Macaca mulatta: one gene and its partner. The protein of the gene in region 2 interacts with the protein of the main gene of each other region in a pairwise test. Links are inferred from orthologs where the notes say so. Each region holds a gene or a part of one and is shown on either strand. Other genes may lie near its edges.

Region 1 (3,654 bases), on a different chromosome or scaffold from region 2:
ATCATAGCTTACTAACTGCAGTTAGAAGCTGCAGTGAGCTATGATCATGCAACTGCACTCCAGTTTGGGTGACAGAGTGAGGCCCTGTCTCACAAAAAAAAAAAAAAAAAAAAAAAAAGGAAAGGAAAAAAAAGCCACACTCAGTAAAAAATCTGGCTTTTGGAACTGGTTAGTCAGATCATGTACTTGCAGGGCCAAAAATACAACAAATTGCTAAATAACTAAATTTATTTCTATGTTGTGTGTTCGGTTCAGATTGCATTCTTAATCACAACCAACTACCTCACAAAGGTATTTTGAAGGGAAGCCATCAGAGGAATCCACACAAGAGAGTGGGTGGAGGTCAGTAGGTATGCCTTAATTCCTGATATCACGAAAGCAATTCAAAGTAGTATCTTACTGTTGGAAGGGCAGGAGCATGATTTGACCAGAAACACTTAGTAGTTCCTTCTCTACGTCAAGTAAGCATTGTCTTAAGCAAAGTTATACATGCCATTACTTACAGGAACCAAAGATTAGATTGGCCTCTAATCTTCCTTTCTGGAAAGGAAAGAAAGAGAGAAAGAAAAGAAAAAGAAGAGGGCATTTGATTGGAAAAACTATATTGTTGAGGGAAGAAAGAGAAGATCCTGGGTTACTCATAACTTTCATACTGCAAACTTATGATACTCTTTCTTGGTACAGTGTTTTGCACGTGTAGAGGTGATTCATGGCATTATGCCATTGGCACTTAAAGCGACAAAGAACGCAGACTAATAAGGAAATCCAAAATTCTTTTGGCCATCCCACCATCATCCCACCCTCTTTCATAGAGGATCAAAAGACAAATCTTACCTCCACTGAGAATAATGACAGCAATAAATATTGCCAAGTCGCTGTCATCTAATTCCAGTGCATTGAACTTCACAGCAAACTCAAACTTGGGCTCCATAAAGTCACCAAAAGGCTTTCGCAGGCTTTTTAGAAATTCCCTTGTCATGAAGCCTTGGCCCTCGGATATGAGAACCCCATCTTTATTCATCAAGGAGGCCAGCATTGTATAAATGATCTCATGGACTCCATATTTGAGGAGAGTTACTTGGTCGTTCAAGTCAAGATTTACGAAACCAGGAATGCTTTTGGCATACTCTGTGATCTCCTGCACAGCCTCCACGGAGCGAAACTGGCAGCCCTGAAAGATGCGGATGGCCACCTCTTTGCTCTGCTCCTGCAGCGGGGTGATGTGTTTGAACTTGATTTTATCTTCTCCCATCATTAAGGAATTCATGTCATAGATAACGAATGGCTGCAAATAAAACAGGGAAAACATGGGTGACTTGGAGATTTCTAACTTAGTGAATGCCATCCCAGTTCAGAAAACTGTTTCTTTATGTAAACTTGCTTTGCTAACTAAAATCTTTAAAGCTGAAGATGCTTAATAATGAGAAAATACTCTCAAGTTCTTTTATTCATCTTAATTATCTTCTGGGACCAAACAAATTTCACCAATTTTGGTCTTCTTTCCCTTTAATTTACACTGTAACACTTTACCTATGACTGGCTAAGAATCCCAATTTCTTTTGTTTGGGGAGTCTTCACTGTTGATTTTTATATTTATTTATTTATTTTGTTTGTTTTTGAGACAGAGTCTTGCTCTGCTGCCCAGCCTGAATTACAGTGGCACAATCAGGGTTCACTGCAACCTCCACCTCCCAGGTTTAAACAATTCTCATGCCTCAGCCTCCTGGGTAGCTGGGATTACAGGCACACACTGTCACGCTCGGCTGGTTTTTGTATTTTTAGTAGAGACAGGTTTTCACCATGTTGGCCAGGCTGGTCTTGAACTCCTGGCCTCAAGTGATCTGCCCGCCTTGGCCTCCCAAAGTGCTGGGATTCCAGGCGTGAGTCACCATGCCCAGCCAATTGTTGATTTTTAAAATGATACAAAATCTACTGTTTATCTTGGCTTTCAATGAAATACACTTTTAACCTTCTTTCAATAAAAAATCATTTCAGCAACTCAGGGTTGAAAATACCCACTTGAACATAAAGCAACTTTAGAGGCTTAAAACAATTTTTTTTTCTTAAACTTTTTTTTTCCTTTTCCTTTGTTCTCCTTCACGAGTAATAACTTTTCAGTTTTAGATGAAATCCTCTCAGATCGCAAATGAAACTATGTGCACATAAAATATGCTTAACTATTAAAAAATCACTCTGAAAGCAGATTAGAGCTATTGAACCAAGAAAATGTCTATTTCTTTTTTTAATGCTCTGGAAGCCATCTATTTCACAAAGAGCAGATATAGAAGGCCTATAGGTGAATGCTGCAAAAAACAGTTTTGAATTTACATTTTAAAATATCTGTCCTTACAGGTCAATCAATAAAATACATGCCCCAGTTATTTAAGTTTGCAATAGGCTGCTTTCAAAAGTTAAGTCATTTGGTCATGACATTATCTCTCTCTCACTTCCCTTGTATAGAACTAACCAAAGTCTGTAGTCATTGAGAAATTCTCAAGGCTGCTCTAAGGGGCAACATTTTACTTACACCGGATACACTGAAAGACACATAAGGAGTTAAACCTTGAATCCTGTTCAAATACTTGTATACCTGAAAGCACTGGAAGAAGAGCTGAGGGTATCTGCATTCTAGCTTTGGTTCTGTGGTGAACTATGCGACTTAAGAAAAGTCATTTACCTTTCCTAGGCCTTAAATTTCTCAATCAGGGGTTTCCACCTCTTCTCCAGAGGAAATTCTAGTTGTATTTCTCAGAAGCAGGATGTGTGTGGGGAGTGGGCATGTGTGTGGAGAGCTGTGAGTGTGCATGCACAACAAACATGAAGTCTCTGATAGACTAAAAGTAAACACTGTTTTGAGCAGAGATGTTGAGAATTCTCTCCTGAATGGGCACAGAGAAGGTGCATGAGTGGCCGTGGCAGCTGGCTTCAAGATGCACCGGTTGGAGATTCTATTCATATCTATGGAACTCTATGATTTTCATCAAAAGATTAAGTTTGTTCTATACTGGAGGAAGTAACACCAACATTAAGGACTCTCAGATGTTAAATATATTTCCAAACTTGTACGTCACGTCAACACCCTTTACTGGAGTTATTCTGGAAGTTTTTACTTTTGTTACAAAAAAATTCACTTCAACTGTACTACTTACCAAACTCCAAAAGGGGACAGATGTGAGGACCCCAGAACAGGTTTACCTGGTGGCTCTAATTTTTCAAGGGACCAAACTGTCCGTACCGTATTTCTTAAACATTTCGCTTGGGTGGTTTTTTTCCTTTTTCTTTTCTTCTTTTCAGGATTAATATTATTAATGGGAGAAATAAAAGGGGGGCAGAGCAAGTAACATCAATGAAAATTTACTGTATTTTTCCAGAATGTCAGGTTCTAATTATGAGAAAAATTTGAATGGATAATGATGCTGTCACAGAACCTAGAAAAAACGTGTTTCTTTGTTCTACAGGCATTTTATAGTGTATTATAATATATATTAATGAAATACTGACTTTCTTTTTCTAAAAAAAAAAATTATTTCATTTTTTGAGATGAGGTCTTGCTATGTTGCCCGGGCTGGTCTTGAACTCCTGGGCTCAAGCAATCGTCCTGCTTTGGCCTCCCTAAATGCGTGCTAGGGTTACAGGTGTGAGCCACCACAACTA
Region 2 (3,654 bases):
GTGTGTAACTGAGATGCACAGGAAGCAGCCAAGAAACGGCAGTGCACTTTCTCAGAGGTGCTCCTGGCTCTACCCGCCCGCAGACCCTCGCCCAGCAGTGGCATGGCGGCTGCGCTGAAGACAGTGCTCCACGGAGGGAGATCTGTGGTCAGCTCCAAGGTGCCTCCCTGCGGCGTCTGGAGGGCGGTAGAGCGGAAGGCATGCACCACGCTCTCTGGAGCACTCGCCACCTAGCACTGGGTCCACTAGACCACAAGCCCCTTGAAGGCCAGGACTGGTCGTGGCGCCTCCCTGTGTCCGTCTGCCAGCTGTGGTGGTGCTCAGTGAGCATGTGGGAACTGAAGAATGATGCAGAGGTGCGTTTTAAAATCGACATGGGGGCCAGGCACGGTGGCTCACGCCTGCAATCCCAGCACTTTGGGAGGCCGAGGAGGGTGGATCACTTGAGTTCAGAAGTTCGAGACCAGTTCGGCCAACACGGTGAAGCACTGTCTCTACTAAAAACACAAAAATTAGCTGGGCGTGGTGGCACGTGCCTGTAATCCCAGCTACTCGGGAGGCTGAGGCAGGAGAATCGCTTGAACCCGGGAGGTGGAGGTTGCAGTGAGCCGAGATCGCGCCATTGCACTCCAGCCTGGGTGACAAGGGCAAAACTCCATCTCAAAAAAAAAAAAAAACATGAAAACAGACAAGCACAGGCTCAGCTGTTCAGAACACCTCATCTGGCCAAAGAATAGAGCAAAGTCCACCTGAGTATGCTCTTGAGAAAAGCCAAATGGCTCCCCACTGGACACCCTGATTGGAGAGCACAGGCAAGGCAGTGCAACAACGCCCCAGATCCGCCATGTCGCCAGGACTGGGACACCCTGATTGGAGAGCACAGGCAAGGCAGTGCAACAACGCCCCAGATCCGCCATGTCGCCAGGACTGGGACACCCTGATTGGAGAGCACAGGCAAGGCAGCACAACAACGCCCCAGATCCGCCATGTCGCCAGGACTGAGGCCTGAGAGCAATCAGGGAGCCTTGTCCTTAAGAAAAAGCCCTACGAAGCTCCTAACCCACTTCCAGAGCAGGGGAGCGAAGCCAATTCTCAACACCAATTCACGCACAGCAGTGGGGCGGAGGGGTAGCGAGGAGAAGCCACTGACCACACGGGTCTCAAAAGATGCATGTGTGGGTTTCACCTTCCTCCTCCTGCTGCTGCCCCTCACCCTGCTCACAGGCACCATGGACCCCCTCCCACAGACCCCCGTGGGCTCCCCTCTCACGACAGGCAGCCAGGCTGAGCCAACTCCTCATCACTGCGCAGGCTTCTGCCGCACCCTCCCAGAGACTGGTCATTCCTGCCCCCTGCCATACCCCACACGGCCAGGTGCGGTGCCTGAGCCCTCAGGAGAGATGGGCAGGCGCTGGGACAACCTTGGAACTGGTCAACACTACACCTGAGCGCTGGGGTCCAAGGACCACCAGCTCGCCAGTGGAACCCTGAGCCAAGGCAGCCCACGGTCAGGCTGTGGTCAGGAATCACTGGCGGGACTCCAGCAACAGCGCCAGGGGATCAGCCAACACACACAAACGCTCAGCTTCAGGCCAAAATTCTAGGGAAGCTAACGGCTGAGGGATGGGGCTTCGTTTCTTACCTATCAAAAAGAACAGACACCCGCTCCATAGCAACAATCACCGACTCGCTGTCTGGGGCTGCAGGATTAGGGTCTGAAGTTCTACCCGGACTGACTTTCTCCTTTCCTGTAATAAAAGTGTTCAGTACGAAGGTTACATCTATACAACCCAACAGGCTCTGTAGATAGTGCTTTGTACACAGGAGTCCAATGAATCACTGGAGAAGACCTGACAGCAGGTGATGTGAGCCCCTCGCTAGCCCAGGACCCAGCACAGCTCAGCCACATGGGATGAGTGACCAGAGGGGTGGTCAACCCTGACCAGGTACTCCAGCCCTGGGGGCTCCAGAGCCTCTCTTGCAAGGTGATGGGGCCAGCTTGGGGCAACACTAAAAGTGTCAAATCAGAGGACACCTAGTCTAGGTTCCTTGAGCGAGCATGCTCCTGTCTCCCTTGAACAGGACTTGGGCTGGCCTTGCGGGCACTGTGTACATGCTCACCTGTGTACATGCAGGTGAGCATCAAGCCCAGAGCCGCCATGGCCCGGTGCGGGCTGTGCACGTTCACTCTGTCCACACTCAGCTTGACCAGGGATTCTGCATCCAGGCGGGAGAGCTGCTCAGAGAGCAGGAGGCGCTCCAGGCCTCTGAGGGCACAGTGGTAAATGATAGAGGGGGTGGACTCCTCACTTCCGGACAGCATCACCCCACACATCTGCACAGGGAGAAAGGTTTCTGTCGCTGCATGGTCTCAGGTGTTCATGCCTCCTCCCCACCAAGTCAAAACTGGCCCACTGGTATGATCCCGCAAGGAAAAGAGAAGGGAAGCCCACTCCCCGTGTGCAGAGGAAGACAGTCAGGGCCCACTCACCTGTATTATTGATGCTGAAAATTCTGGCCCTACGTCCAGAGGATAGTTCTCAATCAGGTAAAACGCAGTGGCACACATGACCAGTACGTGCTGCTGGCTGTGAATGTTCACGCAGCTGAAAACGGGAGACAGCAGCCAGGCTCAGCCGCCCCCATCCAACGTAGAGAGGGCTTCGCAGCATGCCCAGCCACACGCGGGAGTGAAGAGCTGCGGGCCAGGCTGGCTCCCGGGAGCACCTACCCTGTGTGGCTCCCCAGGCCCCTGTAACCTGGCCTGACCCTTCAGCCTCTGCTCGACCCCTCCCTGGATAGCTGAGCCCGTCTACCTCCTCCACGCCCTGCCCTCTCGGCCTGGCCCAGCCTCCCCTGTGGCCACCTCCATACTGGCCACCACAGACTTCCTCTCTCTGTCCCTCAAAGAGGCCCTGGATTCCCACACCCCAGGCCAGTCCCCTCTACTTCCTGAGTGCCCTGTGCTTTTCCTTCGTGGCACATTCCACCATGACGTGCTGCCTTGTGTGATCCCCCGACAGCACCTGCCTTCCCCATGGCACAATGGGGACCCGGTAGCCAGGGACTGAATGAGTGGCCACTGTGAACAGAGGAGCCAATAAGATGCCCCCCTCCACCCACAGAAATGTGCCCAGTGATGCTTATATCCATCACCACGTGATCCCACCTCTACCTCGGAGGCATGTGACACAGCCCGTGCCCATGGCACTGAGGCCAGCCCCACACACCATTTCTACCTGGATGCCACAAGCTCTCTGCATCCCAAACGCAACTCCTGGGCCACCTCAACTCTCCTTTCCTGAGTCCTCCATGCCCACAGCAAGAGCCATAGACGGCCCAACACGCCAGCACAGCCAGGGCTTTGGCCTGTGCCTGGGGCCTGTTGTGGGGCTGCCCCCCAAAATCACCTCGCTGCACCAACGCATGTGCCTGATTTGCAGGCCTGTGTCCCCCGTGTGACTTGCCCTATGCCAGGCTCCAGGGATGCAGAGACAGTTGCCAGCTGTCCGCCTGTCCTGCGTCCTGCTAGCACAGCACCCACCGCCCAGCAAGGATGACAGACGAGAAGGGCCTCCCCACAAGCTTGTGCCACTCTGGCCTGGATGAGGGCAATGGCCCCTGTTGAGCCACTGTCCCTGCTCCAGGATGTCC

What was found. The genes of interacting proteins can lie anywhere in the genome.
Region 1: the proteins of HTT (region 2) and PPARG interact in binary tests that used the Homo sapiens proteins (3 or more experiments, as listed by UniProt). The link is inferred for Macaca mulatta from reciprocal best matches to the Homo sapiens genes HTT and PPARG.

What each region holds. Positions count from the first base shown.
Region 1 is NC_133407.1:151,232,416-151,236,069, reverse strand, and holds part of PPARG (peroxisome proliferator-activated receptor gamma), read right to left. Parts: intron 1,286-3,654; coding exon 835-1,285; intron 1-834. UniProt on the Homo sapiens protein: Nuclear receptor that binds peroxisome proliferators such as hypolipidemic drugs and fatty acids.
Region 2 is NC_133410.1:3,412,670-3,416,323, reverse strand, and holds part of HTT (huntingtin), read right to left. Parts: intron 2,607-3,654; coding exon 2,492-2,606; intron 2,336-2,491; coding exon 2,122-2,335; intron 1,749-2,121; coding exon 1,643-1,748; intron 1-1,642.